Mus musculus: one gene and its partners. The protein of the gene in region 1 interacts with the protein of each later gene in a pairwise test. Links are inferred from orthologs where the notes say so. Each region holds a gene or a part of one and is shown in the gene's direction. Other genes may lie near its edges.

Region 1 (3,235 bases):
TTCTCTGCCAAGGAACCCTGTATAAATGTTTAGATCTCCCATTCCTTCCTCTCTGTGTGGTCAAGTTATTCCTTAGCCTTGTTCCAGACTAGAGTTGAGGCCCAGAGGAACTCGAGGTTCATGCCAGTTCTTGGAAGGGAAGCCTTTTTCCTAAATGGGGAATGTTCTATCTGGAGGAGGGGGTCAGGAGAAGGCTTATAGGGGGAGGATCCTCAAGGTGCAGGGACTCTGACACCAATGCCCTGCTCACAGGTTGCCCCGGAGGCCCCTGGCCAGACCTGAGCCTCTGCCACCATGGCCATTGTGCACACTCTGCCAGTGCCTCTGGAGCCCGCACGTGAGACAGCCACTGCCCCCAAAACTCCAGCAATGGGCAGCGTGAGCAGTCTTATCTCAGGCCGGCCCTGCCCCGGGGGACCTGCTCCTCAACGACATCATGGTGTCCCTGGGCCCACCTTCTTCCGCCAGCAGGATGGGCTGCTACCGGGTGGCTACGAGGCACAGGAACCGCTCTGCCCGGCTGTGCCACCGAGGAAGGCTGTCCCAGGCAATAGCTTTACCTATGTCAATGAGGACTTCCGGACAGAGTCTCCTCCCAGCCCCAGCAGTGATGTTGAAGATCCCCGGGAACATCAGGCACACAATGCCCACCTCCGTGGGCCCCCACCAAAGCTCATCCCTGTCTCTGGAAAGCTGGAGAAGGTAACGGGCAGCCCTTTTGGGAGGACCTGGGTGGGAAGCCAGGAGCCCCTCAGGGAAGCTAGAATTTGGAAGCGTCAGTAGAGCAAAGAATATGGGTTCTGTCTTACCACTCAGACAGTGAAATAACCTGTCTGAGCCCCGTTTTCTGTGTCTTTATGGTTACGGTTAGAGGCTAATCTTTGTAGGTTCCTGTTAGAATTAATACATAGTAAAGTACCCAGCAACCTCAAATGAACAATATAGTAATTGTCTGAGTTAGTTTTATTTTGTTTTTTGAGACATGGTTTCTCTCTGTAGCCTTGGCTGTCCTGGAACTCACTGTGCAGACCAGGCTGGCCTCGAACTCACAGAGATCTGCTTGCTTCTGCCTCCCGAGGGCTAGGATTAAAGGCATTTGTTACCACCTCCAGCCTAGTTGCTTCAATTATTCAGAGGTGTGTGTATGTGTCCTTGGGCAAAACCTTTAACTTTACTATGGGCCTCTACATCCTTGTTTTTAATATGAGAAGAGGATCATGTTTTGTTTGTGTAGCTATTATGATTAAAAAATGAGCATTTTGAATTACTTAATGTAAGTAGGCAATTAGAAACTTGCTGCTAGAGGGAAGAGTTGTTTTTAATTTATAGGACTTGAGGACCCTGTATGGGGAATCGAGTAGTGTGACAGTTTTGAAAGATCAAGGTTTGAGGCTTGAAGAGATAGCAAAGTGGGTGAGATGCTTGCTGCATAAACACAAGAACCTGAGTTCAGATCCCCAGTACCCTGTAAGAAGTTGGCCATTGTGGCAAAGGACTGGAATCTCAGCACTTGACGGGCAGAGACAGGCAGATCCCTGGGGCTGGCTGGCCAGTCAGGCTGGCTGGGTTGGTGAACTCCAGGTTCAGAGGCTGTATAACAAATTAGGTGGAAAGTAATTGAGGAAAACACCTGACTTTGACATTTGGTCTCTTCACACGCAGTCACCAGTCACCAGTGTGTGCACACGTGCACACTCATGCACATAAAACATACATATACACCACACACACACACAAACTTACACACGTTAGTGTTTTGAAAGATCAAGCAAGCAAACTGGGCTTGGTATGACACACCTGTAATCTTGGTTTTTGTTTGGTTTGGTTTGGTTTGGTTTTTGGTTTTTGGAGACAGAGTTTCTCTGTATAATCCTGGCTGTCCTGGAGCTCACTCTGTAGACCAGGCTGGCCTCGAACTCAGAAATCTGCCTGCCTCTGCCTCTGCCTCCCAAGTGCTGAGATTAAAGGCGTGCACCACCACTGCCCGGCACACACCCTGTAATCTTTTTTTGTTTGTTTGTTTTTGTTTTGTTTTTAAAGATTTATTTATTATTATACATAAGTACACTGTAGCTGTCTTTGAACACACCAGAAGAGGGCACCAGATCTCATTACGGGTGGTTGTGAGCCACCATGTGGTTGCTGGGATTTGAACTCAGGACCTTCAGAAGAACAGTCAGTGCTCTTAACCGCTGAGCCACCCCCCACCCACCCCCCACCCACCCCTGTAATCTTAAAAGGCAGAGAAACCTTGCTTGTGATCAAGCCTAGCTTGGGGATACAAAGTGAGTGAGCTCGGGCCAGTAAAGTAAAACCCTGTCTCAGAAAAGCAACAGAAATAACATTTTAAAAAGGGCAAGGGACTGGGCAGATCACCCTCACAGTGTCAACTGGTGCCTCATTTCAGAATATGGAGAAGATCCTGATCCGGCCAACAGCCTTCAAGCCAGTGCTACCCAAACCTCGGGGGGCGCCATCCCTACCCGGCTTCCTTGGTCCTCGAGCTGCTGGGCTATCTGGGAGCCAGGGCAGCCTGACACAGCTGTTTGGGGGGCCAGCCTCTTCCTCCTCCTCTTCCTCTTCCTCCTCTGCTGCTGACAAACCCTTGGCACTGAGTGGTTGGGCCAGTGGCTGCCCTTCAGGAACGCTGTCAGACTCTGGCCGAAATTCTTTATCCAGCTTGCCCACCTACAGCACTGGAGGTGCCGAGCCAACCACCAACTCCCCAGGTGGGCACCTGCCCTCCCACGGCCCTGGCCGAGGGGCACTGCCTGGTCCAGCCCGAGGGGTCCCTACTGGGCCCTCCCATTCAGACAGTGGCCGGTCCTCCTCCAGCAAAAGCACGGGCTCCTTGGGGGGTCGTGTAGCTGGGGGGCTCTTGGGCAGTGGTGCCCGGGCCTCCCCTGGCAGCAGTTCTGGTGGAGACCGCTCTCCACCCCCTCCACCACCTCCACCCCCTTCGGATGAGGCCTTGCTACACTGTGTCCTGGAAGGGAAGCTCAGAGACCGCGAGGCAGAGCTGCAGCAGCTGCGGGACAGTATGGATGAGAGTGAGGCCACAGTGTGTCAGGTGCGGCCAATGGCAGTCCTGGGGCCGTGGGGCTGAATACCCAGAGCGTTGCTGTTGGGGAGGGAGAGGGTCAAGACTCCTGGTGTGACACCCCTCCCCCCCAAGGTTGGTTAGCTTAACCTTCAAAGCGGTGAGGAGGCAGGGTATATAGGAATTGGACCCAGC
Region 2 (4,212 bases), on another chromosome or scaffold:
AGAAATCAAACTCATCACGGCTCTTTTGGAACTGTAACAGAAATGCAGTTCCAGAACTCAAGACTGTTTGTTACCTGGCCTGCTAAGGACAGTGGTTTGCCTACCACTGGCCTGGCTGGATGGCAGGCAGTTTCCAGTGGGGCTGAGCAGTAGGGTCTCCCCAAAAGATGGATGTGTTCTCCCAAAACACTCCCCCTGGATACAGAGATGCTGAGAAGACATGATGCGTCCTGCTCTTACAGTCCTCTCCCTCCGCTGTTAAGCTGCAGGACAACTCTTACTGTCCTACTGAGCGACTGCATCCCTGCCTATTGGCAGGTAGGCTAGCATAGGTTAGGTCATGTCAGTGCGGAACAGCCTCCCCCAACCCCTGAAAAACCTTCAATTATCAGCTCACTTTGTACTATAGATTTGAGATCTCGGCCTCGCCCCTCTTCCTTCAGGCCTCCATCATTCTATTTCTGGTATATCTCTTCTAAAGCTCTCCCATTCAAACGTGAAGGTGAGATGCACTGTCCTAATAGCGCTCATCTGAAGGGTAATTCATGCCTACTTCTTTCCTATGGGCCCACCATTCTTTTATAAGTTATGACAGATGGCAATTTCCTACCGGTGGTTATTTTAGACCTTATTAAGAAGGGGACATCTGAATGAGTCCCTACAATAAGCTTTCAAGATAAGCACTCGTTGGTCACGGGGAAAACGCTAGCAGCTCTTACCGAAGTAGTCAAGCCACTTCATCCCTTGCAGCGCCTTGGGGAGCCGAAGGATCTCGATGTTGTACAGATTTTCCACCTCCTTGAGGAGGGTCTGTCTGTCGGACTCAATTTGCTTGGTTCGAACTTGCACTGCAAAGAGGTGAAAGCGGACGGATCCCGCGTCAGGTGTGCGAAGCCGTCGCATCCGCGTCCCAACCCACCCAAAACCCACGATCACGCGAATCCACCCCTTACCCTCGCGGTCGAAGTCCTTCAGGAAGGAGGCGAGCTTCCGGCTCCGCAGCGTGTTGGTCCTGGTTCCGCGGCTGCTGCGTTTCTTGGGAGCCATGGCGCCTGGCTGCGTCGAGCGAGGGGCCAAGCAGCCGGCTCCGCGACTGAGACGGGGAGAGGGTGTGAGCGGTCGGAGAGCTGAGAAAGTTCAGTCGTTGGAGTCTAGGTTTCCAGAACTCTGCCGAAACCTACCTGCAGGTCCCAAAACACAGTCTGAGGAACCCTCACAGCTCCAACTAAGGGACGGGCGGCTCCTCGGTTAACCGCCACCCAATTCAAACTCAACGGGCACAGCCTAGCCAATAGCAAATCGCCGTCTTAGGACGGTTCTCACCACGCCCAATCACAATAAAGCTTCTTCTCCTTCCGCCAGCCAATCCTCATGGAGGACTTCAATGCCCAGATGTCATTGCGGCACACGCCATCTTTTCGCGACTCCAGAGTCGTGCTAACTGGAAGTAGAGTGGTGAGTTCGTTCTTGTGAATAAGCGCGGTGTAGTTTTTGATGTACTCAGCGTTGACATCGCAGGATTTACGTTTTCCTGTTGATTTAGGGCTGGAAATCTTAAAGAGAGGCGACAAGACTGACTCCAGAAGCACAGGTCCCGGAACAGACAGACCCCAGAGACTCGCAGTCTAAAGCAGATTGCCCTGTCGTGAAGAAACCCCTTCGGAAGACCCGAAGCAACGGTCTTCCTGCAGAGAGAAGGTAAGAGGACCGCCAGAATCAATATTCTTGAGTGTCCGCGGTTACAAGACAGAGACACAGCTCCACTCTGCAGCGTGGGGAGTTGCCCTAGCCTTTTAAGGACTTGAGCTCAGTTGATGGCCCTGACGCTGAAAAGAACTCAGCACTAGCTGAGCTCAGTTGATGGCCCTGACGCTGAAAAGAACTCAGCACTAGCTGATTTATGAAGCAGAGTTACATGAACATATTTGCTACGGGGCCTCACCATATAACGCTGGCTATCTTGGAAGTCTCTGTGTATACTAGTTTGGCCTCGAACTCACAGAGATCTGCTTGTTTCTGTCTTTCCAGTGCTAGGATTAAAGATGCATTCGACAACTCCCAGCCTATGGCTGTTTTAAATACAGGCATAAGCACAAGAATTAAGAGAGAGAGGCAGGCACCTAGGCATAAAAGACACTTGCATGCTCCTCAGAGAATCTCAGAAAGTTAGACATAGCCACGTGGGTATGAGATTCTCTAGGGAGATCAGCAGTTGATTTTCTTTCTTTTCCCCCAGTTTCTTGAGACCAGGCTGGCCTCAAACCCAAAACCCGGCTCTGCTTCCAGAGGGCTGGAATTAAAGTCATGTTACATTAGCCACAATTACTTATTTTGGTGGCTTTCAGTTTACATCTCAAAAGGGTTTCTAAAAACCCTTGTGACTCCCTTCAAACAAGAAGTTGTTTGATAAGAGAAGTAAGTGAGGTGGCTTTCAAGATTCTTTGATGGTATTAAATCCTACAGATGTAAATGGGGTAGTGTGTGTCCTTTCTCTGTAAATGGGATTCCTGGTGAGATTTCTAGAACATGGAAGATTTACAGCAGGAAGGAAGAAAGGCTGTTCACAGTTGGTAAGTGTACTTGCAGGAATTCTTCCTTCATTGTTGGCTGAAGGTGTCAGCCCACTTCCAGGACTAGGAGTTCTTGTTTGTGTCCCCCAAAGTCTCCCTACCTTTCATTATTGCCTTGGGACTATTTGAAGACCAACAGCTGGTCTTCTCCTGAGGTCGGAAATGACGCAGCCTTGATGCAGGCCCTCCCTTCTGGTACCCTGACTCCCTTTTGTTTTGTTTATTTTTTCCCAGAAAATGGCTCATGACCAGCCTCTGCTGGTTGTGCAGGAGGCCCTGAGGAAGTGCTTCCCTGTGGTGGAGGAACAGCAGAACCTGTGGCAGAGCACCCTGCAGGACTGCTCGCCCCTCCTGTCCTCTCTCAGTAACCTGGCTGAGCAGCTGCAAGCCGCACAGAGTCTGCGCTTTGAGGATGTGCCAGCCCTGCGTCCCTTTCCAGACTTACAGGAGCGGTTGAGGCGCAAGCAGCTGGAGGCTGGTGACGTTGTTCTGGACAAGCTAGCTGAGCGGCTGTAAGAGGCTCTGTTGTCCCCCTTTGTTGATGGACAGATCTTAATGCCGCATGGCATCCCAGCCTCAGTCAGGGGGTCCTACAGAAATCGACAAAAGCAAGTCAGGAGTAATCATGCTGGAGCTAAGTTGAATGTCTGTGAGTTCGAGGCCAGCCTGGACTACATTGTAAGACCATGCATGTCTTTAAAACAAAACAAAACAACCCAAATCAGGCCAGGTGTTTAATCTCAGCACTAAGGAGGCATATACAAGCAGATCTCTGAGTTCAAGGCCAGTCTGGTCTACATAGAGAGTTCCAAGGCAACCAGGGCTACACAGATAAACCCAGTCTCAAAATAAATAAGTAAGTAAACAAACAAATAAATAAAAATAACCCCAAACCAACTAAATAAATGGAAGAAATTACAAAAGCAGAAAAGAAGAGGGTGGCGAGGAGTGCAGCCCTCTTCTGTCGTTGTCCTTGGTGTACTGCAGTTCAGGGAGAGCTGGGAGTAAGGACTGTGTGTCCGGGACCTTGTACACCTCTGCCTTATACCTGTCTATGCACTTGGAAGCAAGAAAAGGGAAACTCAAACTGATTGTCCTGATCACAGAGTCCGTGAGAAATAGAGCCAGGAATCTGAAGTGGGCCTGCCACTTAAGCTGGGGCTTCTTACCACCACCTGGTTCTACACACAAGTGGATACATGTGTAACTAAGTAGCCCAAGAAACAGTAACAACACAGGTGTTACACAGATACTCTGTTTTCTGCTTTTTTTTTTTTTTTTTTTTTTTTTTTTGGTTTTTTTGGAGACAGGGTTTCTCTGTATAGTCCTGGCTGTCCTGGAACTCACTTTGTAGACCAGGCTGGCCTCGAACTCAGAAATCCGCCTGCCTCTGCCTCCTGAGTGCTGGGATTAAAGGTGTGCGCCACCACACCCGGCTTCTGCTTGTTCTTGATGTTAGTCATCGACTATAAGCAGGTCTTACACACTTGAGGATTTTGGATTGTTTCCTGTTTTTACACCATAAGCCACAGTAGGATATTTAGAGCTAGCGTTCTGGGCTAGAGGATCCCTTGTCCATTGGGAAGTTGCAGCCTTTGTTTTAGTGATGGGTTCCTTAGAGTCAGCATTCGAATACTATGTA
Region 3 (4,007 bases), on another chromosome or scaffold:
ACAGGGTTTTGACCACTGGTCAGCTGGGTTGTGGACCTTACAGCATCCATCTCTAAGGGACCTCCTAAGATCATATCCCTAAGGTGCCCCCTTACTGTTTAGACCCACGGTAGTGGTGATTTTGGATAGACTCATCCCCTTGTAGTTCTTGTTAAAGCGTGTTTTTGACTGTTCCAGGAAAGTCTGAGGAAAAAAAGAGAGGGGGTTAGATAGCAGCAGCTAGAGTAGTTTTCTGGTGTCCTTCCCACCTATCCCTTCACACCCATGCAGCCATGCACGCCTCTGCCTGTGGCTTGATCTTCAGGAGGCTGGTGACTACTAACCTGTAGCCTTGGGGCGGGGGTTAGATCAGGCAGGGAATGGGAACTGGTGAGAGAGCAGGGACCTACCGTCTTCCCAGCATTGTCCAGGCCCAGGATCAGGATGCAGTATTCATCCTTCTGGAACATGTACTTGTACAATCCCGAAAGCAGCGTGTACATCCTGTTCTGGCACCCTGAGAGATGTCAATGTGTGTACCGGGGGCATCGGCCTCCTGCCCTGCCCGCTTCATCAGCGGTCCGCCTCTCCTGCTAGTTTTCAAATGTGTAGCCTCGCGGATCCTGACTCTTCGCCCCCATCCCGCCTCTTCTGTTAAAATCCCTGACCCTGATTCCCCCGATGCCATCGCTGACCACGTGCTAGACCTGGGCCACTCCCACTTAATGTCATCTTTCATAATGCACCATCAATTCGGAGTCCTGAAAAGCCCGTGGCGGCCTGCTCTGCTCCGCCTTCCTAAGGCTCCTCTTTCCGAACCCTCAACTCAGAACCAGGAAACGCGGCCGGCGACTTAAGTCTAGGAAGCGACCAGAGAGGCAGAGCTCCTGAGGAGGGTCGGCTTCGGCTTCCCGCCGCCGCCGGGCCCACGGAGCCTGGGAACCAGCAGCTGAAGCCACTTCCGTCCCCCTGTTCCAGGACTTTAGAACCCCGGCCCCTCAGTCCAGCTGAGGCCCACCCGTACCTGCTCAGATCTTGGAGGAGGAGCCGCCGCCGCCGCCGCCGCCGCCGCCGCGTTCCTAACCCCACCGACCTCACGCTGACCCCTCACAGTGCCTGACGGAACAAGGAGCGAAGGACGGAGCACGGGCGGAATCGCATCCCAGCGGCCCCCGCGCGCAGGTACTTCCGGCAGCTTCGGCTCTCCGGCGGAAGTGCCCGGCGGAGGGCAGAAGGCTAGCGCGTGAGCTTGGCTGGCGAGGGCGGAAGCCCTTCTAGCCTGCGAGCGCCGGCCGGAGGTGGGGTTGCGGGCCGCAGAGGACGGGGCGGGTGACGTGCAGGTCCCCCTCGGCGGAACCGCGGCCCTCCTCAGGCTCCCTAGCGGTTTTGGGGGCGGCGTTGCCCTGAGTTGTTCTTACTGCTCTTCCTCCTGTTTTTGTCTGCGGTAAAGGTTCCGAATCCTGCCTGCTGGGTCGGGATGGACGAGGACAACCTAGAGACTGCCCTGCAGACCTACCGGGCCCAGCTGCAGCAGGTAGAGCTGGCGCTCGGTGCTGGCCTAGACGCTTCTGAGCAGGCGGACCTGCGTCAGCTGCAGGGCGATCTAAAGGAGCTGATTGAGCTCACCGAGGCCAGCCTGTTGTCGGTCAGAAAGAGCAAGCTGCTGTCTACAGTGGACCAGGAGAGCCCAGCTCAAGAGGATGCTGAGTACCTGGCTTTCCAGAAGGCCATTGCGGAGGAAGTGGAAGCGCCCGGCGCCCCCTGCAATGACTCGGAGACGGCCCCTGGGAGCGAGGTGCAGCCGGGATCCACCTCCTCTGCACTGGAGGAGGAGGAGGAGGACCCAGATCTGGAGGAACTGAGCGGTGCTAAAGTGAATGCCCCCTACTACAGCGCTTGGGGCACGCTGGAGTATCACAACGCTATGGTAGTGGGCGCCGAAGAGGCGGAGGATGGTTCTGCGTGCGTCCGAGTCCTCTACCTATACCCTACCCACAAGTCCCTGAAGCCCTGTCCGTTCTTCCTGGAGGGAAAGTGCCGGTTCAAGGAGAACTGCAGGTAAAACCCTCTGCTGCTAGCAATGAAGGGCACGCAGTCGGGACCACCGCTGTGGCCTGTCGCCACAACTAGTTTGGCACCCAGCAGAGTTGGTAATAGAGTCCAAACCTTAGGTGACTGACAGGCTTTTACAGAAGTGTTCTCCGTGTGTTTACTTAGATTTTTCTTGCATACATCAAGAAGTTTGAAAGAGCTTATGTTGAAAAGATAGGGCAATCCTTCATCAATATTCTTCTCCAAGGTGTAAAACTTTTTTTTTCCCCTTTGAGATAGCAGTGTAGTAACTCTCGATGTCCTTGAATTCTTGATCCGTCAGCAACTCTACTACATCCTGAACGCCTTCAGTTTCCAAATGCTAGGATTACAGGTGGAGGCCACCACTTCTACTGGGCTACATCTCCAGCTCGGAACCTTTTTTCTTTTTTTCTCTTTTTAAAAATTTATTGACTATGCTGAGGATGGAATTAGGGCCTCCAGCACACCAGGCAACCAACTACTGTACACCTTAGCCCCATCCCAGCTCCTGTAGTTTGCATAGTCTTACAGAAAATTTCAAACACATAATCTCTTGCTGACTTGCCCTACCTTCCCCCCCACCCCCCGTGCTACTTGAAAGCACCTTTCACAAGTTACATCTTTTTCTCTCACCCTCAAATACTTCAGAATGTAGCTGAAATAATAATTACTAAAACTGATTTATGTCTTTTTTTTTTTTTAACTCAGTCATCCAGAATAACCCTCTAGTACTTTGAATTTATTTATTTTAGGCCACTAAAATAAAAAGATTTGTTCTATTATAATGGTAGTAGTGAACTAAAATTAGTTTCACTTGGCAGGATTTTAGGCAGGGCTAGAGCCTTGGAAGTCTGAGGGCAGAATCCAGAACCCATTTCTTTGTCCATTTTTCTTTAAGGTTGTTATTATTATTTTATTTTGATTTTTAAAAAAATATATTTTAAAGATTTATTTATTTTGCTGGGCATTGGTGGCGCACACCTTTGATCCCAGCACTTGGGAGGCAGAGGCAAGCAGATTTCTGAGTTCGAGGACAGCCTGGTCTACAGAGTGAGTTCCAGGACAGCCAGGGCTACACAGAAAAACCCTGTCTGGAAAAACCAAAAAAAAAAAAAAAATTATTTATGTATGTGAGCACACTGTTGCTCTCTTCAGACACATGAGAGGAGGGCATCAGCTCTCATTGCAGATGGTTGTGAGCCACCATGTGGTTGCTGGGAATTGAACTCAATACCTCTGGAAGAGCAGTCAGTGCTCTTAACCACTGAGCCATCCCTCCAGCCCCTTATTTTGACTTATTTATTTTTTACTTTTTTAATGTTTTTCTCTAAAGATCCATCGGTTGCTTTTGTCTCATTTTGTTTTGGTAAGGTGGTTTGATACATGGTCTCTATGTAATCCTGGCTGTCCTGGACTACATACAGCTATGAAAGGCCTTGGCTGGCCTTGAACTCACTACCGAAAGGCTGGGATTAAAAGTTTGCACCATGGCCTGACTATTTTAGGCTTTTTTGAGACAGAGTTTCTCTAGTAGTCCTGGTGGATTTCCTGGAACTTACTATATAGATCTGGCTAGCCTGGAACTCAGAGGCATGCACTACCATTTCTGGCTAAGATATATTTTTAGTTAGTGTGTTTGTGTGTGTGTGTGTGTGTACGTGTGTACGTGTGTACGTGTGTACAGGTGCCAGAAGAGGGTATAGGATCTCCTAGAGCTGGCGTTCCAGGTGGTGGTGGTGACCTGCCGAACATAGATCCTGGAAAACAAACTCAGGACTTCTACAAGAGCAGTATCCTCTCAGCCACTGAGCCATTTCTCTAGCTCTATGTATTTACATTTATCTTTAGATTGCGGTGGGGGTGGGGCATGTGTACAGGTAGGTGCCCAAGAAAGCTAGAAGAAGGTGTTGGATCTCCTAAAGCTGGAATTGCTCACAGAAAACATTAACCACTGA

The links. The genes of interacting proteins can lie anywhere in the genome.
Region 2: the proteins of Lzts2 (region 1) and 9930104L06Rik interact in binary tests that used the Homo sapiens proteins (3 or more experiments, as listed by UniProt). The two-hybrid records come from large-scale screens. The link is inferred for Mus musculus from reciprocal best matches to the Homo sapiens genes LZTS2 and AIRIM.
Region 3: the proteins of Lzts2 (region 1) and Zgpat interact in binary tests that used the Homo sapiens proteins (3 or more experiments, as listed by UniProt). The two-hybrid records come from large-scale screens. The link is inferred for Mus musculus from reciprocal best matches to the Homo sapiens genes LZTS2 and ZGPAT.

Annotation. Positions count from the first base shown.
Region 1 is NC_000085.6:45,021,135-45,024,369, forward strand, and holds part of Lzts2 (leucine zipper putative tumor suppressor 2), read left to right. Parts: intron 1-252; 5' UTR 253-294; coding exon 295-702; intron 703-703; exon of another isoform or gene 704-1,136; intron 1,137-2,407; coding exon 2,408-3,070; intron 3,071-3,235. UniProt on the Homo sapiens protein: Negative regulator of katanin-mediated microtubule severing and release from the centrosome. Required for central spindle formation and the completion of cytokinesis.
Region 2 is NC_000070.6:124,935,636-124,939,847, forward strand, and holds the start of 9930104L06Rik (uncharacterized protein C1orf109 homolog), read left to right. Parts: upstream 1-1,412; 5' UTR 1,413-1,698; intron 1,699-2,804; 5' UTR 2,805-2,807; coding exon 2,808-3,082; intron 3,083-4,212. Other genes in the region: Cdca8 (borealin), read right to left, coding at 720-848, 954-1,047. UniProt on the Homo sapiens protein: Part of the 55LCC heterohexameric ATPase complex which is chromatin-associated and promotes replisome proteostasis to maintain replication fork progression and genome stability.
Region 3 is NC_000068.7:181,364,216-181,368,222, forward strand, and holds the start of Zgpat (zinc finger CCCH-type with G patch domain-containing protein), read left to right. Parts: upstream 1-1,207; 5' UTR 1,208-1,456; coding exon 1,457-2,037; intron 2,038-4,007. Other genes in the region: Arfrp1 (ADP-ribosylation factor-related protein 1), read right to left, coding at 96-183, 390-482. UniProt on the Homo sapiens protein: Transcription repressor that specifically binds the 5'-GGAG[GA]A[GA]A-3' consensus sequence. Represses transcription by recruiting the chromatin multiprotein complex NuRD to target promoters.